Tamandua tetradactyla: one gene and its partners. The protein of the gene in region 1 interacts with the protein of each later gene in a pairwise test. Links are inferred from orthologs where the notes say so. Each region holds a gene or a part of one and is shown in the gene's direction. Other genes may lie near its edges. The genes, in order: GOLGA2, FAM124B, CCDC87 and GEM.

What was found.
Region 2: the proteins of GOLGA2 (region 1) and FAM124B interact in binary tests that used the Homo sapiens proteins (3 or more experiments, as listed by UniProt). The two-hybrid records come from large-scale screens. The link is inferred for Tamandua tetradactyla from reciprocal best matches to the Homo sapiens genes GOLGA2 and FAM124B.
Region 3: the proteins of GOLGA2 (region 1) and CCDC87 interact in binary tests that used the Homo sapiens proteins (3 or more experiments, as listed by UniProt). The two-hybrid records come from large-scale screens. The link is inferred for Tamandua tetradactyla from reciprocal best matches to the Homo sapiens genes GOLGA2 and CCDC87.
Region 4: the proteins of GOLGA2 (region 1) and GEM interact in binary tests that used the Homo sapiens proteins (3 or more experiments, as listed by UniProt). The two-hybrid records come from large-scale screens. The link is inferred for Tamandua tetradactyla from reciprocal best matches to the Homo sapiens genes GOLGA2 and GEM.

The regions. Positions count from the first base shown.
Region 1 is NC_135328.1:51,074,385-51,081,884, reverse strand, and holds the start of GOLGA2 (golgin subfamily A member 2), read left to right. Parts: upstream 1-4,490; 5' UTR 4,491-4,558; coding exon 4,559-4,642; intron 4,643-5,863; coding exon 5,864-5,974; intron 5,975-6,867; coding exon 6,868-6,948; intron 6,949-7,500. Other genes in the region: DNA repair protein SWI5 homolog, read right to left, coding at 307-428, 3,388-3,537, 3,656-3,716, 3,852-4,067, 4,202-4,350. UniProt on the Homo sapiens protein: Peripheral membrane component of the cis-Golgi stack that acts as a membrane skeleton that maintains the structure of the Golgi apparatus, and as a vesicle thether that facilitates vesicle fusion to the Golgi membrane.
Region 2 is NC_135329.1:200,148,612-200,155,563, reverse strand, and holds the start of FAM124B (protein FAM124B), read left to right. Parts: upstream 1-3,951; 5' UTR 3,952-4,473; coding exon 4,474-5,205; intron 5,206-6,952.
Region 3 is NC_135335.1:7,814,435-7,822,418, forward strand, and holds CCDC87 (coiled-coil domain-containing protein 87), read left to right. Parts: upstream 1-4,971; 5' UTR 4,972-5,018; coding exon 5,019-7,604; 3' UTR 7,605-7,813; downstream 7,814-7,984. Other genes in the region: CCS (copper chaperone for superoxide dismutase), read right to left, coding at 4,356-4,428, 4,721-4,759. UniProt on the Homo sapiens protein: Plays a role in spermatogenesis, where it is important for normal sperm head morphology. Also required for the acrosome reaction and thus normal male fertility.
Region 4 is NC_135332.1:137,604,027-137,611,675, reverse strand, and holds the start of GEM (GTP-binding protein GEM), read left to right. Parts: upstream 1-4,637; 5' UTR 4,638-5,320; coding exon 5,321-5,356; intron 5,357-5,624; coding exon 5,625-5,964; intron 5,965-7,649. UniProt on the Homo sapiens protein: Could be a regulatory protein, possibly participating in receptor-mediated signal transduction at the plasma membrane. Has guanine nucleotide-binding activity but undetectable intrinsic GTPase activity.

The DNA.
Region 1 (7,500 bases):
ATGCATTGAAAACCTTGCTGAAGAAAGAGACTAGAGTATCTGTGCAGATGGATGCAGACGAAGAGAATGGGAGCCCAAGAGAGAGACCGGAAGAGTGACTGACTCCACTCCTGACAGCTTTCCAGTTTCCAGTTCTGGGCTCTCCTGAGGCCGACCAGCCTCCCTGCCCTGAAGGCCACTGAGTCACCATGAATCCAACAGCACAGTCCTGTTTTTACGCTAAGCTAGTGTGACCAAGTTTCAGTTACTGGGCACAAATCAAAAGTTTTCTTAACCATGTCGAGGAATCCAGCAAAGGGGACTTACTCAGATAATAGTTGGGAGATCTCCTTGTCCAACATGTCCCTCTTCTCTTTCAGCTTCTGAATGTCAAGCTGAAGAGAATCCTCGCTGGCTCCATTGGCCGGGTCAGACTTGGGAGACAGCATCTGAGTGGCAGAAAGTCATTAACTGGACTGGCCAATTATCTGTAATTCTGAGTCTACAAAGTGCCTCCCCCATTAATCACTCTACTTTTTTGTCGTGGTAATAGAAACCTACCTCCCTATTGAATGGGACTATATTTCCCAGCCCCCTTTAGGATTAGATGAGCCCTATGACTACATTCTGGCAAATGGAAGGCAATCAGAAATGGTGTATACAATATCTGGGAATCATCCTTCGAGGCAGAAGGCATGCCTTTCTCTGGCTTTTCCTCTTACCTACAGGCTGGAATGCAGATGTAATGCTGGTGTTGAACAACTATCTTGGAAGATGACATAGAAGCCATACATTGAAGTCATGGCAGGACAAGATAGAGGCATGGGTACTTAGTGATTTTTTTTTTCCACATGGGCAGGCACTGGGAATCAAACCCAGGTCTCTGGCATGGCAGATGAGAAGTCTGCCACTGAGCCACCATTGCCTGCCTCTTAGTGATTTTTAAGTCACTGTTATCTGGAGCTTTCTTTCACTCTCAGGCAAGTCCAATCCTAACTAATATACCTACCCTATTCCTCAATCTGACCCAAAAAATTCCGTTTCTGGTCACCTTCTTGGGTTCTCAAATCTGCTATGTCCCTGGAATTATAATCTCACTGGAGGGCAAAATACTTTCTAGGAGCTAGTTTTATCTTTGTCCTTTTTGTCCCTAAAGGCTGTGAAGGCTAATCTCAAAACAATTTGTTTTACGTGAAGTGTCTAGACAGAAGAGAATAAGGAAGACATGGTTCCTGTTCTTAGATCTGTGGCTTTTAACCAACAAATAGTGACAGCATTATCTGCCAGGCATTGGGAAAAGCTCCAGGAGCTTAACAATGGACAAGGCATCAAGCCTGGTCTTGTCTTCATGAAACATCAAGCCTGGCCCCAGATAGAAAAGACCAAACAATTATGCCCTTCCTCCAGACATTTCCACTGAAACTTGTTCTCACATGTCACTGCATACACTCTGTCTACAACGATAACTCCTCAATCACTTGTTATCCTTTACCCTGACTTTTTATAGCATTATCACCACCTGACATAAACATTTCATCAATGTTACTACTTTCATTGTCTGCCTTAAACCACTAGAGTATAAGCTCCATGAAGACAGGGACTTTCATTTGTTCAAAGCTGATTCCATAGTGTCTGTGACTGTACCTGTCACATAAAGAAGCACCCAATATTTGTCAGATGAATGACATATAATTAATCAACTAATTACAAGTCTAAAAAGTGTCCTGAAGTGGAAGCACAGGGTGAATCAGCTGAGCCAAAAGTGGGGAGAATGCTGAGAAAGCTGAATCCTGAAAGTATGGAGAAGGCTAAGAAAGCTGAATACGGAGGGATGAGCAAGCAAAAAGATGGCAAAAGAAAAGGATGGAAGAAAGGATTCCAGACAGAGGGGACAGTATATCCAAAGGTCCTTAGCCAGGGGACAGCACAATGTGTTTGAGAACTGAGAGTGGTTTCAGTGTGGGTGGAATGGGGTGGGTGAAGGGATAATAAAAGTGCTGTGAAAAATAATAAAAATAATTAACTGTGGTGCCATTAATAAGGAGGAGAGACAGTTTGAGTGACTAGGGGACCACTGATGTGAGGATGGTTGGAAAGGAAAGTAGAGGTATCCTGCTGGCAGCTGTTAAGTGTCCAGAGAGGTCCGGCCTAGAGAGAGATGGGAGAATCATCTGCACTGACATGAGCTGAAAGCACTGAAGTGAGATCTTTGAGGGAGTGTGTAGAAAAAACAATAGAGGGAGGATGGTGGAACCACAAGAATACACCCAAATTCATGTTAAGGAAGAAACAGGAGGCAGAGGAGCCAGCCAAGCAAGCAAGGAAAAACAGAGGAGGATCAGGATAAGGTATCTTCCAAAGAGGCCCAAAGAAGGTATTAGTTAAGAGCTAAGGATCTAGAGTCAGGCTGCCTCAGTTTAAATGCTGCAACTCCATCACTCCCAGGACTGTGAGATTTATAATCTCTCTGGAACTCAGAGTCCTCATCCGCTTCTGCCTCAAAGGTTGTTGAAAGGATTCAGCAAGATGAATCAACCACAATGATTGAGGCAAAGTAAGGGCTTAGTAAAATAAAAGACTTGACTTGTTAGTGATGGGAATGAATGTGCTAGGCAGAATCAGAAGACACAGGGAGGTCAAAGACAATGAATACTGAGACTCTCTGAAAGAAAGTAACATCAGGGTACTTTTAGAGAGAGGGTCAATCAACCTGGTACTTTTGGTGAACTTGTGGCTTCCCACCCACATCATCTGGCCTAATCTACCCTGTCAGTTAGCCCTTGCCTCTGACTTCACTACCACTGGGGAGCTCTCACTGCACTCCTAAGTCTGGGCTCCTCCTCACATAAATGTGCTCATATGGTCCTGGAATTCTGCCTGTTCATCATCCTCAGCCTGTGCCTCCTTGGGAGGCAGGGACTACCGCATACACTTGCATCCCTGATGCCAGCCTCAGAGCAGTTGCTTAATCAATGTTGAACGCATAAATGTGTACCAAGTATTTCACAGTCTAACTTGAGAGTGGGGGAAGTGGTGGGAATCCCATGGGGCAGGGGTGGGGTGGGGTGGGGGAGATAAGGGGAGAAGGCAAAGGAGGTCATGTTTTGGGGGTGGTTTGCTAGAGAAGAGGAGACAATTGCAGCTATGCCTGTTCCCGACAGAAGAGTTTTGGGTATGTTTAAAGGTAGGGCTGGGTGAAGGGAGAAACCAGTGAGCAGGTGAGTTGGCTGGTGCCAGAGACCAGCAAATACATCTGGGAGGCAGGGAGAGGGCAGGGCGGAGGGGATTCCAGCCACTAGCACAGAATTTGGCTTCTGACAGGACAGGACAATGATTCCCCCCCCCAAACTTAGCAGACAGGAGGAAAAAATGTGTGTAGGGGTGAGAAGATGAGGGATTGAGAAATACCCTGGAGTTTCTCGGCAGAATAAGGTCTGAGAGGGAAGATCTTTGCCTTTCTTCTGGCCGAAGCCAGTCGGTTCTGTCGGGTTTCTTCCGACCCCGCGGGGAAGGGAGGGGGACGGAGGGTGGGGCCACATCATCCAGTCCCAGCAGCCACTGCGAACCAACCGCTGGATGAGGGCTAGGAGTAGATCACCTGCCGCTGAGGACGGAGAGGAGGGCAAGAGGTAGTTAGGTACGAGTGTAGGGGGGGCGGGGGCACAGACATACTCACAGGGGATCTGAAGGTCCCGCGGCAACTAGTGGAAAGTCCTGGTTGAGTCCTGGAGAGGAATCTGAGGAAAAAAACTAGTTAGACTTCACGGGTGCTCTGGGAGGAAAGGGTGCTGTGGGGTTGTGGGAGGAAGAGCAGATGTGAAGTAAAAGCGACCCGAACTGGATCCAGCTGGGAGGGGTAGCGATATACTCACGAGATTAGGGTAGGTACCGGACCCTCGAGGAAGGGGAGGGTCCCAGATGGGGAGGGAGTGTCTGGTGGGGCGGTGGAGCGGGGTTTTGAGAGGGTGAGAAAGTCTGGAACCGTTGCGGAGTCAGGAGAAGGGCTGTGAGGGATTGAGCCTTCCCCTTTCTCCGCTCCTCGCCTACCTCCTGAGCCCAGGAGTCCGGGGTCCCCGGCTAGGGGGAGTCTGCGGTGGGGGAGGGTCCAGGACTAGAGCTGGAGATGGGTCTTAGATCTGAGGAGTAACGGTAACCCGGAGTGGGAAATGAACCGCCATAATGAGACCTGCGCGCGCACCCTGGAAAGGCGGGTCCGCCCCACCTCAGAGTAGGAGGAGGTAGCGGTTGCGCCCCGCCCCCAGGGTGGGAGGAGACGTCTGTTGGGCCCCGCCCCTCCAAGGCGGGCGGAGACAACGGTCGCGCCCCTCCCCCCAAAGTGGGCGGAGACGTGACTCCGCGAGGATCTTTCATTGTGAGCACACCCTCCCGGCCACGCCCACAGTGATATGGCCCCGCCCCTTTCCGTGTCATCTTTCTCCTCGCCCAATGGACGGGGAGATTTAGGCCACGCCCACATTCTATGCTGCTTAGTACCTCCCTGGTCCCTCCCTTCCCTGGCTCAGTCACACATCGGCGCGGTAGCTAGCGGAAGCGATTTCGCAGTGGCTGCTGGGATTAGATGATGTGGCTCCCCCGTCCCCCTCCCCTTCCCGAGATGTCGGAAGAAACCCGACAGCAGAAATTGGCTTCGGCCAGAAAGAAGGTAAAGCGCGCTGGGTCGCGGCTCCCGACCCAGCCCGGAGGCCCCTCCGACCCACCACACGGTGACCAGAGTCTGAACTGCCCCTGAGGCAAACGGGAAGAGCCCCTCGGCTCCCCTTGGCGCCCCTCTCGTCTTTTCAGCCAGTCCCGCCCCCTCGGCTGCCTAGCTCCCGCCCTCGCCCGTCGCTCCTGGGTGACTTTGGGCCGGTGACCCCCAGGATCCCTGCTCTGAGCGGGGCTCTCGGGTCCTGCTGCCCAGAACCGAGCCACCGTGGGCTCTTGGCCAGCTTGGGTTCCCGGTCTCCTGGGACCTCGGTCCCGGCGCTGGTCTCCCCTCCCCCACCGCCGAGCGGTGACTCGGAGGAGGGTAGGGAGAGATGGAATGCAGTTACGTCACAGTCCCCCTCGGAGCTGTCATTATCGCCATGGGACCAGCCTTTGATCTTCCGATCCGATCCCCAGTGTTCACCCCTTTCCGGCTTCTCTGGTCGCGGAGCAGATTACCAGCTTGAAGGGAACTCGGGACTGTGGGACATAGGCAGAGAGGTTTCAGGCTCCCATACTTTGGCTATACCGCATCCTTAGACATTGACAGCCCACACTTCACCGCTGATCTCAAAATGTTTACAACATCGCTTGGTGACAAGGGGAGAGCTTACTGTTGGCTTTTTCTCCCAGGCTTCTACTCTCCAGAGAGACTTTGAAATATTTCTTGTTGTCTACCTCACATTCTAATACCCTAAGATTCTGGGACCAGACTCCCCCTCATTTGATGCTCTTTAGAGTAAGATCTGCTTATCTTCTGTGCTATAGATCCTGGGAAAATGCATGAATTTCACTATTGGGAATCTTCTTCATGTCATCTTCTTGACTTAGGGTTCTCTGAAGTGTGCTTACTGTATGAAGTATAGAAAGGATCCCTATATCTAATTTCTAAATCATACAGTGTATTGGTCTTGCCCATTTAATAATTACTTTTCGATGTCCATCTCTGGTTTTTCCCCTTGGCAGCTATTGATTATGGGAGAACCCCAGAACTTCTAAGTCAAAAATTTAAATAACTTTTTTTTAAGCCATGTTACCTATCACTTGACTTTTTTGAGTCCATTTCTTCGGTAATTAAACGAAAATTATACACCCTGTAGAGTTGGTGTGGCATTAAATCAGATTGCATCCAGGGGCTTAGATTTCTCATGAGCGTCTCTCCTTTTCCTTTCTGCAGTTACGCGAATTTCAGATGAAAAACAATCTTCCTGTTCCTCCAAGAGTGAAGAAAAAAAAGATAGAAAATGGTCCTGAAACACCAACTTCTGATGACCACTCACCTGAGGATGTGAGTCTTGGCTGGCCAGGCTTCCGGGGATAGGGATGCAGAAAGAGCAGTAGAGGAGAAGGGTTAAGATTATGGAAGAGGAAGTATTAAGTGCTAGTTAAGAATTCTGACTTTGTCTTCCTCTGCTAAGGATGTGGTTTTAGAAAAATTGTTCAAGCTCTTTGGGACTGTTTTTGCACATCTGTAAAATAGAGATACTGTTTTATTTATATATTGTGAAGTTTAAATGAGAATTGTTGCTGTTTTTATAAAAGTCCTTAAGTACAGGGTCTGGTACAGAGTAAATATTCAATAAATGGTAGTTTCCATTTGACCTGTTGCTCTGGTGATTTTCCTCATTCCCAGCCTCAGTGAGAAGCCAAGCTGATGAGAACAGCCACTTGCTGTCAGGTTCTCCCTTTAGAAAGTCCCAACAGAGCCCCAAGGTGTGATGAAGAAAGCCCCAGCCACTAGGATTAGGAGAAGGTCTGAGTTCCGAGTCTCTTTGCCACCAGTTTGCCTTCAGAAAATCTCTTCCTCCCCTGAGCCTCATTTCCTCATCTGTAAGATGATATTGCTGGACTAGAGCAGCATCTTTCAAACTTTTTTTAGCTGTAGCTCCCTTTGTTCAAATGAACCCTTACTCAAAAGTGTGTTTCCCCCCCGTCTATGTGACTGCTTAATTTAGTGAACTTCTCCATTTATTTGTGTACATTGATTTCTGCCTCTGGCAAGACAGCAAGTGGCTGTTTGGAAGGACGGCACAGCCTGCGGTATTGATCCCCTCCTGTATCTTCTTCAGCATCCCATTTCCCTGAACCCACCTCTTCTTCGCTGTCCTGACTCTTACCTCTTTCTAAGTCACTTCTCTCTTTCTCCCCCCTCCCCCTATTTTCCTCCTTTGCTGCCTGTAGATTCAGGACTTTCTGAAGGTGTTGGTGTCCGACCTTAACCGCTCCAATGGGGTAGCACTACCCTCATTGGACAAGTGGAAGGTGAGGCAGTGCCAAGACCCCCTCTCTGGCTTGCTCTCTCCGCCTGTGCATGCTCCTGAGGCTTTTCTGGTTTGGGGAATTCTTTACTTCTAGCTTATTTTATGTTGCTGTCATTAACCTTCAGCCTGCTCATATCTTTTCACCTGCTTGATTGTTTTTTTCCCTTCCCCCAAGTCTTTTATCACCTTGGAGAAGGTGGTAGTGTATCTTAGGTAATTTAGGAATAACTTTCAGAGCAGGGATATAAGCTATTTGGGCCTCGGTATTGAATGTCCAGTGGTGCTATCAGACTAGGAGAGATTTTTTAAAAATCTTTGTCTTGCCCTTAGATCATCTATTCCTAGGGGGCCAGTAGACCACAAAGATGTTTGTGATTTTTCGAATTGAGGAATTCTTTTTGGTTTGAGTGTAGGAAATATATGGGTAAGAGATTATAGCTGAAAGAATTGAGGTTCTTTTTTCAGAAGAGCTCATTGTAAAGGCTGTGAGGTTAACCAAACAGATGAGTGGTTAGGATCTTCTGCTCCCAGTCTTTTCTAAAAATCACCTGAG
Region 2 (6,952 bases), on another chromosome or scaffold:
CACAAATGTTATCCTGCAAGATGTCTGCCCAGGCAGTGTGGTGTCCTGAAATCCTTGGAACCTGAGGCTCAAGCACCTGCACAGATGTAGGAGATGCAGACTACTCTCCACGTCTCCCTGGGCATCAATTAAACATCACTTATCCCTTAACCTGGATGCTCCCAGGGCCCCATCCTCTTCCCTATCCTATCCTCACTGTATATTCTCTTTCTGGTAATTGCATCCATTCCCATGGTTACCTAAATACCAATGGCTCCCTAATCCATATTCTGTGGCCTGCAGCCCTTCTCTAAACTGTATGTTAAATGCCGACTGGACATCTCCACTCTGAAGTCCCAAAGGCATCTACACTCAACATGTACAAACCATGCTCCTTCCCTTCCCTCCCGACTGCTCCTTTTCTCCCATATTCCTTTTTGGGTCCCTGATAGCCTCACCCAGGCATCTATTAAGTATTACCTGGGAGGCTTCCTGGACTAGTTACTGTAGCTTTCTGCCCACATCCGACCTGTAAACAAGCCTGTCCACTGACTTTCCTTTTATCACTCCTGTCCACATCTTCCTGCAGGAGTTACTTCCCTTTTCCAAGCCAACCCTTCTGTGGATCTGTTCACGTTAGAATAAAATGCAAACCCATCACTGTGGTACATGAGGCCCTTCCTGTTGGAGCCTCTGCCTACCTTTCCAGCCTCTTACCACTTTCCTAGTCCCCACCCTTTGCCATCTGGAACTGCTGCTAGTTGCACCAATGAGTGAGGCTCCCTAGCCATTCCCGGGTGCTTTCCCCATCACCTTTCTCTCCCTAGGATCCCTTCCCTTTCCCCATATCCAGTCACCTCCCCCACCTCATTCCTTCTTGCTTTTCACTAGTTCAAGCGTCATCTTCTTTCTCTTCTTCATAGCATCCTTGGCCCTCCCATCTAGGCCAGTGGCTGCTCTCAAAGATTCCCATGGCATCCTGCAGTGACCCTTATCACAGCATCAGTGATGTACTCTAAGGTGTTCCTCCCTCTGTTAGTTTGCAAACTGCCAGAATGCGATATACCAGAACTGGAATGGCTTTTGAAAAGGGGAATTTAATGTTATAAGTTTACAGTTCTAAGCCTATAAAATTCTCCAAACTAAGGCATCCAGGGAAAGATACCATAATTCCAGGAAGGCCAATGGGTCAGGAATACCTCTGCCAGCTGGATAGTCACATGACTAGTATTTGCTGGTCCCTTGCTCCTGGACTCTGTAGCTTTCAGCCCCTGTTCCTTGGGGGCTTCTGAGTTTGCTTCTCCAGGGCTGGCTTTCCTCTCTTGGCTTCCCTTGGCTCTCTCCAGGTTCTGACATGCTTAACATCTCATGGCGACGTCTGCTGGGCTCCAATCATCTCCAAACATCTGTATCTCTGTTCTCTGACTGTCAGCTCTGCTCTAAAGTTTCTGTTGGCTTTCTCCCTGTTATTTCTGTTGTTTCTCTCCAAAATATTTCCTCTTTTAAAGGATTCCAGTAAACTAATCAAAACCCACCTGGAATGGGTGGAGTTACATCTCCCTCTAATCAAAGGTCACACTCACAATTGGCACATTCCCCAAAGTAGGCACAAGGTGATTATCTTTTCTCTGCTCCTGGCAAAATGCCTGGCTCGCAACATGTTGCATACCTCAATAGATTTTGCAAACTAAAGAGAGAAAAGAGAAGTTTTCTTGAGGTGGGGGTAGGACGTCGGGGTGTGAATTTGTTGCACTGCTTATGAGATTTGCAGCAGGGACAAATCCGTGAGGCCCTCCCTGGGTTCCACCAAATCCTCTAGCAGAGTTCTTAGATTTCCCTGCACCACTGTCGCCAGCTCCTCTGCCCTCTGTGAAGAGTTGGCTACTTGGCTGCCCTCCAGGAGCTGGTGATCGATAGCTAAAACCTGCGCATCTCGGCGAGTTTAAGAAAAATAAGGTAGAGAATCAAGTGTCTGATTCTGTCCACTTCCTGGGAGTCTAAGTTGACAACTTTCCTTAGCATTTTCATCTGTGCATTCAACAGAAGCCATGTGCAAGCATCAAGAGTGCCATGGAATGCAGCAGAGAATGTGGCCATCGTGTGGGTGGAGGTGGGTGGCAGGGAGTGGAAGCAGTCACTCCAAGGGTCAATGTATCAGCTAGTTCATGGAGAAATACGTGCGGAGACAGCCAGGCAGAAATGAGACTGCTGGTTCCCCACCCACGCCTCCCCTAGCTACCCCCAATTCCTTGGCACTTGGACTGCCATCAGATTCATGAAATCTTTTCAATCGTAACAGAAATGACAATCCTGAGAGGATAGAGTATGTTTCAGAATTGAATGGGAGATTCAAACAATAGCATCCAGAAGGAAAACCTTTTCCTATAGGAGGACTTAAACATTTGCCTTGTACAAAATGTTGTCGCTTAATATCTTTGTCTCAGTGTATAATTTTTCTCCTCCTCAGAGTTTTAGAGTTATTTCCAGAATTGCAGAGGCTGTTTCAAGAACCATGGTCTTGTAGAAAGTGCCAGAACATAGTTGGTTTTGTAGGTAGATGGAAAGGGGAAAGGAGAGAGGCTTCACATTGAGTGATGAAGTTGTTTGCCTTCAGATGTTAACATTTGCCATCAATTAAAATAACTTGAGTTAAAAAATAAAAAAAAAAACCAACTCAAGAGATGTAATCCTTAAAAAAAACAAAAAAACAAAACAGGGCCACGGTGGCTCAGCAGGTGGGGTTCTCGCCTGCCATGCCGGAGACCCGGGTTCATTTCCCGCTGCTTGTCCATGCAAGAAAAAAACAAAGAACAACTCTAATGACTTTTGGAAAGTTTAAGCAACATATATTTAATTATTGAGTCTCTGATAGTTGTTTTAAAAAGATTTCTCTACAAACTGCATTTATTTGTTTTCCAAGGCATAAAGCATTGGAATTATGAAACAGAAATGATTAAAATTGTAGGTTAGATTTAGGAATAAACCTGAATAGAAATGATTCCTATCCATGGACAGTAATTTTGGCTTTATATTTGGTTATTATACTATTAAAGGAACCATATATAAAATAAAAGTTACGATAATATTTTTCATGACAAAAGTGTTTTTTAAATCGATAAAATAATAAAATCACACCGTGTTCTGTTAAGTAATAAATTGCCTATTTTTAAGAAGAATTATGTTTAGATAGATGTGCTTGTCCACACCTTTCTAGGACACAGCTCCTAAAATAGCAATTGATTTTCCAACCGACGTTTAGAGCATATTAGTGTGTTATGGGCAGTGTTTAGAGCTTGAATATATTCTTGATGAGTATTTCAGAATTTAAGAATTTAGGATTCCACAAAACACAAAGCCTCTAGGAGACACGTGTCCTCAACTAGAACCTCAGGAAGAAAACCCGGGGCCGCTGCCCAGACCTCAGAGAAGGTCTCAGAGGTGCTTCTCAATTCCTGGGTTGACACCTTCACGGAGGCACTTGTTTGCTATGATAACCCGCATGAGTTACTTAGTTTTTCTGCGTCTGAATCTCATCATCAGGAATTTGGGGATAATAGTTTCCTCTTCATAGGTGTTTTGGAGGATGAAATGAATTCATATGACGTTTTAGAAGTTTATGTCCGGAGCTGTGGATCCTCAACAAAGATGAGCAATGATTGTTTTTCTTATTACATTGGAAAGCCTTTTCTTTCTGAAGATTTTGATGAATAAGGGGAGATTTGATTTTCAATGTACTTTTAGACCACTCAGATTTTGCAATAGAGCAAAGAATTTTCAGTGACCTGCCAAAATCATTTAGATAAAGTACCTTGTCTCAATGCTCTAGCATACAATGTTCGAAAACAAAAAAAACCCAAAGACAAAGAAGGGAAGAAGAAAAAAAAAACCTGGCAAGGGAACAAGTTTGGAGAATTGTTTTAAAGAAGTCCTTATATTTAGGTGGCCTGGCAGGCTACTGTAAACACCCAGAGATGCAGGGAGGAAATCAGAACCCATGTGGGTCAATAAAATGGCTATCTTTTCAACTAACCAGATTGCTATCAGCATGTTCTTTTTTTGTTGAGTGGTCATTTCCTTTACTGAGTGCCTGTAAGAACCACCCATTTGGTTGTTTCTCAGGATTATAGGTTTTTAGGTCAAACAGAAACCATGGGGAACGCCTGAAAAAGCAAAACACAAGAGCTCCATTCTGCTGAAGCTGGATGATGTCAGCCTGACTGCCTTTGTGTGCAGCTGAAGCAGTTGTGCCCAGGCTGTGCGCGGTTCCCGCACTGTGCATCCGTGAGCACACACTAGGCTGTGCACTAGCTGGCTAAGTGCTTTGCTCTTTAGTAGCTGTTGCAGCTGAAGCATTTTTGGTGAGGTGAAGGTTCCACGTGAGAACCCAACATGGCCTTCCTGGCTCCTTCATTGATTTCAGAAGTTTGAGCAGTGGGCACTGAATGCTTCCTTCTTCTTCTTTTTCTTTTCTTTTAGTATTCTGGCAGTTCCAAAATGGATGAAAGACAAGAGCCTCTGGCCATGACTGTACATCTCCTTGCCAACTCAGGGCATGGCTCGCTTCTGCAGCAAACTCTGGACCAGCTCCTGGATTGCATTTGCCCAGAGGTTCGAGTCTTCCTGGTGTCAGAGCGGGTCAGTCCAGTGAAATACTATGAAAAGTACCACCCCAAGCGGTCACGGTTCCCGGGGATGTCTGTTCTGCTCTTTCTGCATGAGAGCCTGGGAGAGCAGCGGATACTTCGTGTTCTTGACTCCCTACAGCATTCGCCTTGGCACTACTACCCCACCCAGCATGCACGTGGAAGACTGTACCCGTACATCCTTGCCAATCAGGATTTCTACAGTCTGGACAACCAGATGCCCATCTGGGGAGTGAGGCAGGTGCACTGTAGCACCGAGATCCTGAGGGTGACCCTCTACTGCAGTTTTGATAACTACGAGGACACCATCCGACTCTACGAGATGATCTTACAAAAAGAAGCCACCTTGCAAAAGAGCGACTTCTGTTTCTTTGTGCTCTACTCCACCAAGGGCTTTGCCTTGCAGCTTTCTTTGAAGCAGCTGCCCCTCGGGGTGTCGGTGGACCTGAAAGAGTCTTCTGTGCTACAGTTCAGGGTTCAAGAGATTGGCCAGTTGGTGCCTCTCCTACCCAATCCATGCATTCCCATCAGCAGCACCAGGTGGCAAACTCAGGATTACGATGGCAACAAGATTCTGCTGCAGGTATTTCTGTTTTCCCTCTCTGGACTTGTAAAAGCATATGAGACTGTGTAATTTTACATCTGAGATGTGAATGAAGACATAATTTAATCTAGTGGTTCTCAACCTTGGTTACACATTACATTCCTCTGGAGCTTAAAAAAAATTCCCATGCCATGGTCATTTGCCAGGCCAGTTAGATCAGAATCTCTAGGGGTGGGGTGGGGGGGAGGGGGTGATCCAAGACTGGGCATTTTTAAAAAAAGCTCCTTGGATAATTCTAATACATAGTGCAGTTGAGAGTTTTCTGATCTAAAAAACTCCCACTTGACAGATAAGGAAATTCAGACTCAGTGAGCTTGTGGCTAACACATATAGTTTGCCGGAGAAGCAGACCATGTCCTGTTTCTCAGATTTTCTTTTTACCATGCCAATCAACTAGATCCAAATATTGTTCCTACTTATTTTTGGGTTCAGAAATATCATAAGCTCTTTCTATCTGACCTGAGGAAGTCGAAGGTGTGATTACATTTGGAGATGTGAAGTTTGTGGTCCTGTTGACTTAATTTGTTAAGTAGCCTGTACTGCTGTCAAATTTTACCTCAAACCAAGTTAGATGGTTAAATCTCCTTCAAAAGAAAGCCTTCTTTTGTAACCTTCCTATTAAAGCTGAACTCTCAAGATGGGCTCCCCATGCCATCTCTCCTGGTGTATTATGTGATAGTTGAGCCTGGTCACTTAGTATCTTAGTTTCCTCATTTAGCACAATGAGGATAATAGTATTTTCTTAAATGGTTGGTATGCACAGTAAATAACCTAATACTTATGAAGTTCTTAGCATAGTGCCCAGAACTCAAATTTAGCTATTATTCCTATTATGCCCTATAATAAGTACTTTGAATTATTTTATTTAATCCTGGTAACATAAGATGTCATTATTTTTCTCATTTTGAAGATAATAAAACTGAGGCATGGAGGTTCTGTTACTTGCCCAAGACCCACCTATAGGTTTGTCTATCAGCCTCCAAAACTCATGGTTTTAACTGTTGTACTCTAGGGCTCTGTGGGTGTGAAAGTGAGTGTGTGTGTGTTAGCAGACAGGGACATGTACATGATATTCACAGCAAAATACGCTGTGGCTTCTGTCCCTGAGGAAGCATTACCAACCCCTTTAAGGCATAACTGATAAAGTAAGAACAGGCTCTGAGATGAGCTGTCTTATCTGTTGGCTCATTTTGTTATCAGCTTTGACTTCTTAGTTAAATAAAATATGAATCATAGCCTATATTGAATGATTTCTAGATTATTTGCCTTCTTGATCACATACTGTAGACAGTACTGTTTCTGTTAGTTGTCTGTTATATAACCCACTAATTTCCAAGGCATCTAAATTTCCCCTTCAGTCTTAGTTAATCTCCAGAATTTAGATCCAACCTCACTGTCAAACAAGAATTTAATATGTGTATTCAGCAGGGGGCACATTTTTAATCATTCTGGTTTTAGAGGCTTACTGACAGTTTTACTCCTGAATTACAGCTACTGACTGGTAGTTACTTTGGAAAATTGAATCAACTTTGGGGAGTGCAGAGTAGTTTCATTTATTTTTTTGACAAAGGAAAATCTCTGTATGTAACATAAAAATAGTCATATTCCTCTTTGGATTTTCTAGAAGTCTCATTACCCTTCCAGGGTAGATTGTAGGAAGAGAACATTATTCCCTCCTTCTCATAGACCTCCCACAACCCTTGGCTGTGGAGACACCCCCTGCTTC
Region 3 (7,984 bases), on another chromosome or scaffold:
CCTTAGTTTGAACAATTTTATGTCCTTAGAAGTGTAAACTTAATAATGCAATAAATTCCCTTTTTCAAAGCTCTTTCATCTCTGGTATATTGCATTCTGACAGCTTTAGCAAACCAAAAAAAAGTGGGGGTGGGAAGAACTATCACTATCCTCAGCTGAGCTAACATTTACTGAGCCTGTGCCGTGGGCTGGGCCCTCTTGTAAGGGCTTTATCCACATTAGTAACTCATCTGATACTCGGTCGGTAAGCTTGAGAGTTGGGTCCTATTATCTCTACTTTACAGATGAGGAAACCGAGGCATGGAGAGATTGAGAAACTTGCTCCAAGTCACACTGTTAGAAGTTGTGGAACTGGAATTCAAGCCCAGGCAGCCTCCCTGAGAAGTCCGAGCATTCAACCTGGCCACTCCGCCAGCCCAGAGAAGCAGCCTGTTCTCCCCAGGAGGGCTGGGGACCCCCCTCTTCTGTTCTCCTGCGGCAGCTCCCATTTCCTCTGAGTAACACAACATACCACTGATCACAAGTCCTGTTTCACTCACAGGCTGCCAGGTCTGTGAGGCTCGCTGGCATCAGGTTCAAAAGTTAGTGGGTCAGAAAAAGAGCCTGGAGAGTCTCAACTTCCCTTGAAGTCCCCAAAGTCACCCCTGTGTGTTCACAAGCCTGTGAGATAATCCCCACACACATTCAGCTTTGAGGGTCAGCGAGCCTACTCAAATTCAAGGCAGGAAAAGAAGAGGCTTCTCTTTTTCTCAGATTATTTGGGCTTTCAAGCCTTTTAAAAGAACTTTTGAATCCTCGGGCCTGTGGTTAAAAAGGGTCTCACTCTGCTTGCCTCTTGAGGTCCACTGCAGCTTGGTGACAGTATTGGGGGAGGGACAGACTGTGTCAGAAGTTAGACAGATAGACCCATCTCCTTCTCTGCCAGGACAGAGGGATCTTGGGATCCTCTAAAAATAATCAAGCTGTCTTTAACTTCATACATCTCACCCTGAGCCTGTGAAATCTTGGTGCTTGGGATGTGCAGCCAGAGGCACCTCTGGATGCCAACACCTGGACAGGGGATGTCGGGCAGGATGGGAAGGAACCTGTGTCCTGAGCCCCAGGGTGGGCCACTGTGCTCCGTGTTTTCCACTCACCAAGACAGAGATACTGTCCTCACAAAGCTCGGAAGGCAGCCTGTATAACCCCCAAAGCTGATACTTTGTCCCCTTGCCCCACACCAGGTGGGGTTGGACCCCAAAGGACTGGTTGTCTGAGGCTCCAAGAGATTTCATTTATTCATTCACATATTCATTCATTTGACAAATATGGACTAAGCACGGACTACGTGCCATGACCCAGGCAGTGGGAATGTATATAGCAAGGAAAAAGTCAGGAATGACTGTGGGGAAGGGAGAGCCATGTTAGGGTTCTTTTGAGGCCCATATGCAAGGAAGAACCTTCTAGCAGAGGGAATGGCACAGGTAAAGACCCTGAAGCAGGAACCACCTCGAGGTTTCTGAGAAGGCAGGCTAGTCTGCTGGAGCTGGGAGTGAAGAAAACAGCAAGATATGAAGTTGTAAGCAGGCACCAAATCAAGCAAAGCCCTGTTGGCCACAGGAAAGAATCTGGATTTCACGTAACGGGAGGTCATCGAGGGGACGCAGAGTATAGTAGCTGAGAGTTTGTGCTCTGAAGTTGAAATCCTGTACCTGCTGCATACTAGCTGTGTGGCTTTGGACAAATTACTCAAACTTTCCACTCAGTCTCTTTAGCTGTAAATGGAGCCAATAACATCACCTACCTCAGAGGGTTATTAAAGGCCTCATATAAAGCACTTAGAAGAGTGCCTGGTCCAAATGAAGCTCTCAAACATTGTTTTTACTGGAAGATTTTAAATAGGGGAGTGTGCCAGTTTGAAAGTATTATGTACCCTAGAAAGAAAGCCATGTTTTAATCCTGATCCAATCCTGTGGGAGCAGCCTTTTTTTTATCCTGATTTAATAATGTTGGCTAGAGACGTGACATGCCCAATTGTGGGTATTAACTTTTGATTAGATGGAGATGTGACTCCACCCATTCCAGGTGGGTCTCAATTAGTTTACTGGAATCCTTTAAAAGAGGAAACTGGAGGGTCAGAAAGAGAGAAATGACAGAAGACTTAGAGCCGACAGAAACTTCACAATCGTGCTGACACAGATGTGGACACGTGGAGAACAGAGACACGGATGTTTGGAGATGCTTGGAGCCCAGCTCCACTCCAGCTGCCATGAGATGCTAAGCAAGCCAGAACCTGGAGAGGGCCAAGGAAAGCCAAGAGATGGAAGCCAGCCCTGGAGAAGCCAAGTGAGGAACGCTCACTGATAGGCTGAATGCAACAGAGCCCAGGAACAAGGGACCAGCAGATGTCAGCCACGTGACTTCCCAGCTGATGGAGGTGTTCCAGGCCCACTGGCCTTCCCTGAGTGAACTCTTGTTGGGGCCTTAATTTGGACATTTTCATAGAACTGTAAACTTGTAATTTATTAAATTCCCCCTTTCAAAAGCCATTCCAGTTCTGGTATATTCCAGCAGTTTGCAAACTAACACAGGGAGCAACATTATCTTATCTATGATTTTAAAAACAACTCTGACTGCATTAGAGAGGCTAGCAGAGGGGCGACACAGGCAGTCGGGAGTCCACCAAGGAGCATCTTGCATAGTTCAGGAAAAGGTGAGATGGCCGGGATATGGAGGTTACACTACTTAAAAAGGGAGGCTGATTCGGAATGTTTTGGACATACATCTGACAAGGGTTTCAGAGGGCAGAGGTGGGTTCCTGGGCCCCAAGGTGGAGGGCCAAAAGCTGCTGCTCTCCTCCTGAAATGCAAAGGCAGGAAGCTCCTCTTAAGCATTCACCTTCTGAACTTAGCCTGGGTTGGAACCCAGAAGGAAGGCTCCCCAAATAAACAGCTGTTCAGTTCTGCAGAGAACCTCCTAAATGTGAGCTCTTTCCACTGACTCCTGGGAGGAGAGCTGAATCCTTCTTCCCCAAGGCCCCAGTCTCCAGGACAGGGCAGTTCTCTCGCACGTGCTCTTTCTCTCTTTGCATTCTGGAAAACTACAACTTCCCTACCTAGCCCATGAGAAAGTCAAGCTGGTTCCAGCTGCAGTCATCCAGGCCAGAAGTCACAGTCTCCAGAAGTCTACAGGTTGCCTAAGAAACCTGCTGTGGGCTGAACACTGCTCTGTGTCCATCAGAAAGTCCAGCTGTCTGCTCTCCCAGGAAGCAGAGGGCCTTACATCCTGGCAAATCTTTGGTCAGAGCCCTCCACATGCCAGTGGACTAACTCAAATTCCCTATGACCATTACTTTGCCACCTCAAAATACAGAATTTGAGCAAACTCTGCTTCAAAGTCTGCCCCCTCACACCTGCCCCCAACCAAACCATCACTGTGGGCTCTTCCTCTGAGACTACCCAAGATCCAGTATTCTCTTACCACACGCCAAAGACTTTTCTCAAGTACTTTTCATGTATTAACTACTTTACTCTTTACAATAGTCTTCCAGGATAGGTTCTTTTGCCAGCCCCATTTAAAAGCTGAAGAAACAGAGATGCAAAATATAATTTGCAGGTCTCAGAGCTATAAAGGGGTGAAGAGGTGATCTGACCCCAAAAAGACTGACTCCAGAGCTCATGGCCCTAACTGCTCTCACTGCCATTCTGTGCAGAGCTCAGTGCTCCTACTGTTCCAGCTGCAGAACCCTTCTCACTTGTTTCCTTCCAGAACCGCTCTTCCATGAAGTTCTCTGTGAATACTACCGAGGCAATGCTGGAGTGCCTGATGAACCTGGGAGCTTTAAGATGCCAGAGCTTGGTCCATTACCAGGGCTATGCAGTGAATGACTGGATAAACATTTAACAGAATCAGAGTAAACCAGTTCCCAGACCCAAGCTGATGGGTCTGCTTTCTCAGATCTCTGTGCCAGGTCACCTCCAAACTAGCAGGCTTTTGAGAACCAGGAGCCATCTAAGATGGTCCATCGCCAGGATTGCCGTTTGCTTCGTCATGATCATGCTGATTTCCAAGCAAGAAATGCCTGATTTCTGGGAAATGCCCTCGGTAGGAGGAGTTATACTCAGCCGGCTGAGGTTCAGAACACCCGAAGGCCAAGGCAGTTAGAGCCGATACATGCTCTGGCAGGGCAGACCTGCAACCTGTACACTAAGCATTGTCTCTGGGTCTCTGTGTTACTCTGATAACATTCCTTCCTTTCTCTGGGTCTCACTTTCTGCAGCTGTAATATGGGAGTTGGGTCGGTCAAAGAAATTTGTCTGGCCCCTCCCAGATGCCTCCAGACTGCTGTCTTCCGGGGAAGTTTTACAGGCTCTTACCTGCTACCCCTTGCAGGGACCTGTGTACCGCGTCCACGCAGCTTTGGCAGGTCATCTGCACAGCGAACTCCAGCTGCAGGGGCGGTAGGCACGAGCCGATGAGAGCCTGAGGCGTGCGCGACCCTGTTTCACCACCTCCCCTTTTGCCACCCCAAAGGCCTGAAGAAACGTCCCAAGTGACCCCTTTCCGAGCGCCCCCTTCATTATCACTCATGATCATTCCAGAACCGTGGTCCCATTCCTCAACAATCTCGCCAGGCGCCTTGCTACCTTCGCACCCCAGGGTCACCCAGGATCCCATGATCCGCCCTAGCTGCCCGCCCCTTTCCCCCTTTCTAGCTCCCTCACGAGGCCTCGACCCCCACCAGGCAGGTGGTCTCGTGGTTCCCCGACTCCGATGCCATCCCTGACTCAGTTGCCAGCGGGAAGACGCGAACCACTCCGCTCCTGCAGCGCAAACCCGGAAGAACATCGTCGGGGGCGGAGCTTCGGGGTCACCTTTTGACCCGTCCCCTAGTGCGTGTGCACGCAAAGCCCGCCCCCTCCATACGCCCACAGAGTGAGGGGCATAGGTTGCGCAGGCGCATTCGGGCCACTAGGACCCCGGTTGCCTTAGTAACCCCTGGGCCGCCTGGGCAACTGCAGACGCCGCCTTGGGCGAAGATGCCGCGCCAGAAGCGGGAGCCCGAGCTGCAGCACTTTTACCACCGCTTGCTGCAGCCGTTGTCGCTCTTCCCCCGCCAGGCGCCGCCCGCACAGTCTCAGAAGCGACCCCCGCAGGAGATGCGGATGCTGCAGATCCTGTCGCGCCCCCGGCTGACAGTGGCGTCGCTGTGCCGCCAGGTAGCCGAGCGGCTGGCCCGCTGCGGCCTCACGGCCCCGGTGCTTCCCGAGGACCGGCTCCGCCTCACCGAGGTCATCCTGGACGAGCTGAAGTGCGGCTGGCAAGAGCCTCCCACCGAACCTAATCTGAGCCAGAGGGACAACCAGAAGCTGCGGCAGCGACTCGAGGCCCACGTGCTGCTCAGCAGCGAGCAGCTCTTCCTACGCTACCTGCACCTGCTGGTGACCATGTCTGCCCCTGCAGGCGTCTTCACCGAGCCAGCCACCCTCACACGCTTGGCCGCCAACCTCGCCAGGGACTGCACGCTCTTCCTTACCGGCCCCGACGTTTACCGTTGCCTGCTCGCTGACTTCCGGGCTGTGCTGAGGGTACAGGCCCACCGCTCCGTGGACCAGCAATACCGAGGCAGCCCCCTGGAGGCTTCCAAACTCTGCCCTATCCCCTGGCCTCACAGCACCGGCTTTGCTCACGTGCCATGCTCCAGCCTCAACCTGAGCTACCTGGTCTATCTCAGCCGCCCGCCAGAGTTTTTCAGCGAGCCGCAACTGGATCCCATGAAGGAATTGAAGGCCATCCCCCAGCTGAAGAAGAGAAAGTCTCTCCACTGGCTGCCCTCCATGCCAAAGAAGGGAGAGTTCGACTTCATTCCCTCACAGACTGTGTCACCACCCAGTGACATTGAGATTCCCCCCAGTCCGGCTACACCCCCTCTTTACTTCCCCCTCTCCTCTCAGCTCCAGGGCCACCAGTCCATGCCTTGTCTGCGAGAAGGATGGAAGCTGGCAGATGAGTTGGGCCTTTCTCTGACCCCAACTCGCCCCTTAACCCCACTGGTCCTGGTTGCAGAGGGCAAGCCGGAGCTGCCAAGGGACACCCAGACTGAGGATCTGAAGCAGGTGGTAAAAATCAAATTGGAGAGTATTTGTGCCCTATCACTGGACTCAGGGCTGCCCCCACTCCTGGGGGCCCTCACCCGCCGCCCGGCTGCAGAGCACCGCATGAAAGAGCTGCAGAGGACATTGAAGGCCCTCCAGGAGGAAGAAACCTCTGGCCAGTTGGACCTCCAGTCTCCCAAAGCCCTGCCACTTCAACCCCAGCCAGTGACTGTGACTCTAAAGCTAAGAAATCAAGTCGTGGCCCAGGCAGCTGCTGTGCAGGTCTCCGATAGAAACTTTTTTGATTCCTTCCACGTAGAGGGGGCTGGAGTCGTGTACAACCACCTGGCTGGTGAATTGGACTCCAAACTCATCGAGGAAATGGATGCCCATTGTTTTGTGGGCAGTAACATCCAGGAGATCTACAAGGAGTTGATGAGCCGGGTCTCTACTGACCACTTCCGTTTTGACCAGGGACCCCTGGTTGAGCCTGCAGCAGATAAAGACTGGTCTACCTTCCTGTCCTCAGCCCTCCTACGTCAAGTAAAACAATACCGCATCATCAACCCTGAACTGGCTGATAATCATTCCCAGGAAGCAAACGCTTTGCAGCCCAACTTAGAGAGGCCGCCCTCCCTGGTAACGCTCTACCCAAGCAAAAGCTGGGATAAGCGGTCGAACAAGTTCACATGGGTGAACTGGTGGCAAGCCAGCTTGTCTGGAGGTAACTACTTCAAGTACCTCACCAGCCAGGAAACGGATTTTCTCCACGTCATCTTCCAAATGTACGAAGAGGAGGCTCCCGTGGAAATAGTGGCCCCTGTCAGAGCATCCCAGGAGATTCCTCCTCCCCCTCCTCCCTTGTTAGAAGATGAAGAGCCCTGGGACTTTGTGCCGGGAGAGTGGGATTGCAACGTGGTGCTGGAGCACGGGCTGGGGGTTGAGAGGCTGGACCTCCTGGGAGAACCCCACAGACTCCTGAGCCTGCAGAAGCGCCTGGAACGGCTGTGGTCCATGCTTGAGGTCCCCGACAAGGACCGGTTGGACATGGCCATCAAGTACAGCTCCAATGCCCGTCTAGGGCAGCTGCCTTCATTGGTGAGTGCCTGGGAGCGTGCCCTGCAGCCCATTCAACTGCGGGAGAGATTGCTGGGGAAACTCGAGTGGTTTGAGCGACATGCCTCCGACCCCAATCGCTTCTTCCAAAAGACTGGCATAGGCCTGAGTCGCCTCCTGGAGGAGAATCAGATCCGCAGCCATCTGTACAGGGAGCTCAGTCAAGTGGAGGCTTCTTTGGTTTCCCTCCTGGAGGAGATTGAGTTAATCTTTGAAGCTCCAGTGACCTTCAAGGGGCGGCGCTATCTGGACAAAATGAAGTATGACAAAGTTGAGATGCTGTACTGGCTGCAGCAGCGGCGGCGGGTTCACCACGTGGTCCGGGCCCAGAAGCCCTCCCAGCTGTCAGCCCTCTCCAAAAGGCTCAGCAGCCGGCCTTTAGTAGCTCCTGGAAACACTCCCATTACCCTTTGACCGGCCGAAGTACCCTCAAATCCCTTCCAGAACACCCAGCAGCTCATTCAGACCTCTTCACTGCATTGGAAGAAGAAATAGGGGAGTGCAGGCTTCAGGAACCTTGCGTTTCCAGTTACAGAAGGGTCTGAGAATAAAACTTTTTGATAGTGACTTTCTCAAAAAAAAAAACATACCCAAGCCCCAATATTCCCACTTACATTAAGCCATGCACAATACAGCCCAAATCTCATAGATCAAAAGAACTGAGACCATCCCTTGGAATTTATTGTAATGGGAAATGTCAGATGGAGGCAGACCATGACCTTTGGAGTGACCCAGTTTATCATTCCTAATACATTACATTAAATTGGCTGATTAGAACCACAGATCAAGATGCT
Region 4 (7,649 bases), on another chromosome or scaffold:
TTCTTAGCCATCTTTTCTTCAGGCTTTATTCTCTCTTAATCAGGGCTCTTTTGATTTTGCAACTGGGACCATTTTTACCCCCTCTGTAAAGCAATGATTTTCCATATAGTAATTCTTTCCTTCTTTAGACTTCCCAGAGTGGATGGGTGGTTCTTTTTGTTCTCCAACATTTTGCACATTGCCTCCCACCCAGCTCCTCCTCTGAATATTTTTATGGCTGGTGGAGCCCTATTATGAGTGCTGGGTATTTGACCCCCATTTCCTTGTTTGTTTACAAAGAACTTAACCACACCACTCTCCTTGCTAATTATTTTTTCCTAGCAACATCTAATGTGAGTACATTTTCCCGCCCTTCCTCCCTCCACTGCATGTGTCTTGAATTCTACTGGGTTAATTTAACTTGCGGCTTACGAGGCAGCAAAGCCGAGGGCATGTGGCCAAGTTCCAATCTTGGGCTCCTGCATCATAATCATAATCACTCTGTGGTTAACAAAACCCTTCCACATTCAGTAGCTCATTTAGTCCCCAGAACAGCGGAGCAAAAACCAAGGCCTCTGTGGTTTGGTGACATGCCCTGCATCACATGGCTGAGAAGAGGCAAGGCTGGCCAAATCCCCTACTCTTTCCTTTATCCCATGCAGGGGGTCACAGAGCCAGATGCCTTTGGGGGGCCAGGCAGACAATATACATGAGAAAAGCTGGCTGGGGTGGATGCCTTAGGGAGTGTGAGGACTGGGGAACTGGAGAGCACATGCCTTGCTTAAAGATGTTACAATGCAAAACTTTTAAAAAGCACTCAAACAACCCCCACTTAGCATCTCTCCAGTGTCCAATCTAGAAGTCACCTCTTTGGTGGTGGGAAAGGGAGGCAGTGGTGGTGGCATCACCTCTACCACTGAGGAGCATTTACTTAGTGGCATGTGAGAATACTACTGTAGCTGTAATAAGTCTACTGTATAGATGAAGCAGTAGAGAACATTAAAGATTAAATGTGTGAGTTTGTTGCTTTTAGAATAAAGTATTATAGCTTTTAGGATGTTATCACAGACCCAGGGATGTACAAATCCTGTGACTATCCATCACCTTTCCTCCCGTTGAATTTTCAAAGGATAGAATACAAAGTAATGTTTTATGAATGGTTGTGCAAGCGCCTAACGCCCTATTTCACAGGATTGGTCAAAGAGTCTATTCTTCTTTCCTCCCTTCTTTCCACCCTCTTTCATCCCGCTTAAAGGCAAGGGACCTGGTTGTTCAGTGTGCATGGAAAGAGAGAGAGAGAGAGAGACAGTGACAGCGATAGAGATGGTCCTCAAAGGGACCCCGAATTTACATTCTCACCAAGGACAAGGAACTAGGAATAAAAACAGAAAAACATAGGTTAATACCTTTTAGTAACCCTGCCTGTTGGCAAAATGTGGCCCAGTGAAAGCCATGGGCTCTGGGCAATCAGACAAAAGGTTCTTTTTGAGGGGTGTCAGGAAAGGAGTGGGAAGAGGTGGGACTAGTATGGGAACAGGGCTGACGTGTCCTTCTACCCCAAATCAAACAGCGGTGAAGACGGTGGCCTTAGAGGGTGCAGCTCTGTCACCTCACAGTTCCATGACCTTGGGTAAATCATTCAATCTCATCCCTCAGCATCTTCATCTATAAAATATGGATAATGACAGATGTGATGAGGATTAATTGAGATAAGTCATGGATGTTATTCAGTAAATGTCAGTTATTTTTGTTGCTTTCAATTTTGCCTCCTAGCTAGCTCAGCTTTTTCAGTTCAGCCCGAACCTGAGGCAGTTGTCAAATTCTGGCGTAAAAAATATGGAAACAATAATTCATAGACTAAGAAACTACAATGTCTGCCAATTTCTCCTCTTTAGAACTTGCCACTTGCTCAAATGCCCTGAGCAAGCTCCTACCCTCCAATGGTCCCACCGAAATGGAATATTGGATAAAGCAGCTGAAACTCTGCTGGATAAGATTTGGCTCTCAAATTTTCTTTTCGTGTGCTGTAATTGTGATTTCTCTCTAAATATTCACTCCAACTTAGCTGTTGTATTATTTAAACTTTCCCTAAGTAATTGTTTTTCTCATTTGCATTCATCTTGGTCCTTATGGGTCAGCACATTTATGAAGGCAGATTCTCTAATTCAAACAAAACATTGCTGTACTTACTGAATCAATAATGGATGAAAGCCAACCGTCCTCCCACTTGTAATCTTTAGAGATCATTTTCTTTGGTGTGTCTTAAATATGACAATGAAAACTAGCTCACTGTAAATTGCCAGGTACAGAATTCACTTCTTTTTAATATGAAGAATTAGGTATCTTTGGGCAAAGGTGAAAAAGAAAAATATATGATATGCATATTAATTCTGATTTATTATCTTACTCTTCACTTGTTCCTGTTGAGACAAGTTGACAGAGTAGGAGGCTTAGCATGAATAGCATGGATAATTCTGAAATGCAGACAATTCACAAATTACACATGTTTTAATATGGAGTGAGGGAGTCTCTGTCTCTCTCTCCCCCTTTACTTCCCCTCTTTTCCTTGCTCCATATCTGTAGTCTCCTGGCTAAGTCCAAAAGAAAGGGCACTGGCCAGGAAATTATGATACCCAGTTTCTAGCCCCAGCTCTGCCATTTACTTTAACTGATTGGCTGTCATCTCTTTGGGTCTCAGTTTCCTTACATATGGGGCTAAAGGTGCTCTAAGTTTTCATTACCCTGTGGATTCCACCTTGGCCAGCGTGGGGACTGGCACATCTCAGCAGCTGGTCATTTGGATAATCCCTAAAGCAGATAACTGAAAATGGACTGAGATGCCATATAAATTCTAGTCACAGCAGAGTCTAGTCACTCAAATAGACGCTGGTACCTTTGGCTGCTTCCTTGAGCCGCCAGCCAACCCAGAGATGAAGCTGGCCAGAAAAGTGGATGGCTGGGTCAGAAAGGCCAGCATCATTTTCAAGCACAGCATCTGGGTAATGCCCATGTCCCCAGGAAGAGGTCATCAAAACCCTTCTCCTGGTGATGCAGTGCAAAGAGTCAAACAAAGGAGGTTTCGAATCCTGAACCTGCCACTTATTTTGAGCTGTGTGACACTGGGCAGGTTCTTTGGCTGAGCATCATTTTCTCCCTCCACAGATTGGGGGATGCAATAAGTCCATCTTGCAGAATTGTTTTAAGAGTTAAAATCTGCAAAGGAATGACGGGACATAGTAATTCGGTAATGAGGTACTCCGAAAATGGCAATCACTGCTGTTATTACTATGCTGTGTGCTTTATTCATAGGAGTCTCTCAGGGGACTGGAGCCCCTTGCCTCTGCTCAATGTCCCTCCCCATGGCTGGGAGACACTGGCTCCAGGCCAGAGCCCCGGCCTACCAGAGATCCTGGTACAGATATGCTGCTGATTGGAATGCTGATTAAATTCCCTGATTGAGAAGCCTCAGCATCCTGGCCCCGAGCAGAAGGTCCTACAATATTTAGGCCAATGTGCTTCGATCCCTAATTAAATTATTTTTCAAAACTGCCCTTTTCAAGGTCTTGCCCCTCTTCTCACCCCTCTCTTGCCCCTTCCAAACAAGGAACTCAGAGCAGTGTGGAGCCTGCCCCCTTCCTTACCCCTTATCCAGAAAGAAGGCGGCAGGAGGCCCTGCGAGGCTGTTTTCCATATAGAAAATGCGGCTGAAGCAAGCCCTGGCCGCTGAAGCTGTCTGCAGCCCCATGCTGGAGGCTAGCTCTCCTCGTGCAGGGATGATCCCTGTTTTCTTGGCAAAGCTGGGCTCACAACTCATGCCTCCTTCTTCCTCCGTCCGTTATCCCAAACAGCTTGCAGTGCTGTGCTAGGAACGGCGATTAAGTGGCAGTTAGTGTATTTTGTCATTTTCTTGTTTCTACCTGGGAAAAGTCAAATAAAACAAAATAAAGGAAGCCCTGGAAATGAACTGTCATTTTTTAAAAGGGGAGACGGGTCACATGACTGCGAGTAACTGATTTAGTGTGGAGTGGTTGCAACTCTGAGTTTGCTGCAGAGCCGCCCCCTCCCGGCGGGGGCGCTGACGTCACGGAAAAGCCCCGTCTGGGGTCAACCCGACTCTTTATAAACCGCGGGGCCGTGGCGGCTGCAGGCGGCGGGCACCGGCGGGCGGTCACTGCGCGAGCAGCCCCACCGCGCTCCGCGGCCCCAGGATCCCAGCGCGGACGGACACACGGACTCACCGACGACGACCCCACTGACCCCGCCGTGCCAAGTAAGGGGGGCAGTAGGGGAAGGGTTTTCCGTACGTCGCAGGGAGTTATGGGGTCGGGGGAATGGGTGGGCGTTTCCGAGACCGCAGGGCTTCTTCCAAGGTTCGAAAGACCCACAGTTTTCTGCGCTGTGGTTGTCTGGTAAGGGGCATAGTTTAAGGTGCAAAGGATGCTGCTTCTTTCCAGCAGGTTCCTTAGTTCTGTTCAGCAGAGGGTCACCTCTTACGGAGGGAGGTCAGACGGCAGAGCTCTATGATACTTTATGATTTTGTCGTGTGACTGCAAGTCTGCCAACTGAAGTGCTGCTTTTAAGGTTTAAGCACCAGCGGGCCAGCCGGTTCAGGGGCCAAGGTGGTGGGGTGTGGGGTGTGGGGGTGTGGGAGTGTATATCACACTCCTATGAGTGGATCTTGCTGATTACAATGAGAATGCTACTTTAACTCAAAGTAGTCAGGGAAGGCAGACCTCTGTGCAGGGGAGGGAGTCTTACAAGGGCTAAGTTGTAAGTGAAGTGATTGAGGGTCATTTAGGAGAGACTTTGGGCTTCTGGTTTGCTTCAAGGTGGAAATCTGAGTTGAATTAAGGAATTCTCAGAGTGTACCTAGATTAATAAGAGCGAAGCACTGTCAATGCAAAATCTGATAGATTTGAATGTGGCCAGGTCATTTCAATGAGAGAAGGGGAGGTTTGGGGCTGGGATGTTTTAAACATGATATCTGTGGGCAAGAGGGCAGAGCTGAGGCATAAACTTCAAACAGAAGTTCTTTTTTCCTCCAAATAATAGCCTAGTCAGGCAGCTGGAGAACATCAAGGCAACTTTACTAAACATGGAAGTTCCAATAAGTGCTTGTCCAGTCCAGTTGGGGGAGTGATGTCATTGCCACGTGTTTCCTACCGAGGCACAAAAGCCTGCTGGTCCTGATGCAGCTAAGAGCCATGTTTAGACAAGAGCAGTTAACCTGGCCAGCTGGTCCCCTGCTCAGTTAACTTGTTGCTTTTCAACAAGGAGGCTATTGGTTCTTTCTGGCTGCTGCTGTGTGGGCTCTGAGTAGGGATCCCAGGCTGCTTTGAGGATGGAGGAAGCTGGTGGGCAGTGGGTGACATTAACGGTAGTGTTTTCTCTTTGCAAATATAAGTCTAGAAAGCCTCCATGAGGAGGTGGTTACTAATAGTGTGGGGAATGTGTATGTGTGTGTGTGTGTTGAAAGCCTGGATTGTTTGGGGTTTGGGGCTACTTCATTGGTATTCCTTATATTAGGGATGTTCACTTCTCAACTAACCTAATAAAATGTCACTGATGACTGACCATGTGTTTGAGTCCCCTGAGCTCTTGCCTATGCTTACTAATACTGGCATCTTGGCCGCTTTGCTCCCCAGGACCCAGCGATGACTCTGAATAATGTCACCATGCGCCAGGGCACTGTGGCCATGCAGCCGCAGCAGCAGCGTTGGAGCATCCCAGCTGACGGCAGGCATCTGATGGTTCAGAAAGAGCCCCACCAGTACAGCCACCGCAACCGCCACTCGGCTGCCCCTGAGGACCCCTGCCGCCGGAGCTGGTCCTCCGACTCCACGGACTCAGTCATCTCCTCAGAGTCAGGGAACACCTACTACCGGGTAGTGCTCATTGGGGAGCAAGGGGTGGGCAAGTCCACTCTGGCCAACATCTTTGCAGGTGTGCACGACAGCATGGACAGCGACTGTGAGATGCTGGGAGGTAGGTGGCTCAGCCCCAGTGGGCTTCTGTCCATCAGCAGTGGTCAGAGGGACCGAGAAGAAAGGGCGAGTGGTAGGTCATTTATCTGCAGAGTTGGGAATTGAGATTCTTGGCGTGGCTGGAGGAGCTGAGTCCCCCAAAGGGCCCTGGCATAGGTCCTTGGGACAAGAAAATAAAAATGTTCATGAGAAGGGCCAAAATCTGTTGAACCTGGGCCAGCAAGGGAATTGCTTATGTTCCAGCTTTAAAAGAATTGGGGGAGTCTGATTAACGAGGGCCCAGAGCCAGAGAGTCAAGATCCCACTGCTGGCTTTTGCTGGCTCTGACCTGGACCTTGTCCTCTCCCTCCTTTTGCCTCAGTTCTTATCCCCGAAGGTTCATTTTGAAAAGTGCATCTGTGTTCCTTGGAGAAAGGTGGACTGTGGCCAGGGTGAGTGCTACACTTGACTTAGCCTGAGGGGCACTTTTTCCCAATCGGTGGCATAGAGCTGGTCAAAAATTTACTCGGAATAGTACATTAAAAATATATTTGAAGTATAATAATGATATAAATACTTTGTATAAAGTCTAATATCTTTTCAAAACAATTTCCACTGTATAATCTCACTTAAAATACTCATTTATTTAAGGCTTACCTATTTCCAAAACTAATTTGAGGTGGCATTAGCTCATAAATAGATGTATTCCTGAACTCGGTGTAAAGCACAGCACTACATTCTGGGAAGTAAGATGAGAATCTTAACAGCCTATGGTGTTCATGCAGTGTCTTTTAGCTATGATTTTCAGAGACTTGCCATACACAATCAAGGTAGCTGAGCATTTGTATTTGTAGCTGTAGAAATGAAAGTCCAGTCCTTTCCCAAGTCTCCTGGTCTGTCCACACACTCCATTGCGACTCACAACTGAATCACACTCCTAGAGTAGGCAGATGCCTTAGTGATGACTCACTTCTACCCTCCATTTGATGCTCGCTACCAGTGGCCCATTTGAACTAAACATCTTGTTCTTCTTGACTATCTCCAGTGTCAGGGAGTTTACTTCATTATGAGGCAGCTCAGGAATTGTGCTATAAGTGATGACTCACTGATGTGACACAGATTCTCAACTCGCTTTTGGGATCTCAGGGATGACAACTAAACTGACAAGGGAGGAGTAGGGTCAGTATTGTACAATTGATCCTTTCTTCCTTTGGAAAGGGTGCAGGATGACTGTTGCTGAAAGAGGAGGAAAGGGAGGAAGGAACGAACATTGAGAATGAGTGTATGCAATGAGACTGTATACTCATAAGATTGAGTATGCAATGGCAGAAAAAGCTATTGCTTTTTGTTGTTGTTTTCACAGAATTCCTATCCTCATATGAATAATCTGAATCTCAGAGAGACCAAGTGGCTTGTCTAAAAACACCTATTCAAGAAGCTGGGATTAGAACTCAGGGCTTTGGAATCGTAGTTCAGTGCTTTTCTCATTCTGCCGTTTACTTCCCACATGTATTTTTGTTTTGTTTTGTTTTTTGGCATGGTCAGATTCCGGGAATCGAACCCAGATCTCCAGCATGGCAGGCAAGAATTCTGCCACTGAGCCACTGTTGCATCACCTGTACTTTTGATAATAGTTACAAAATTGAACCAATTTGGCACTAATATCCTTATTTTACAGGTGAAGAAATGGAGACTTACAAAGTCAAG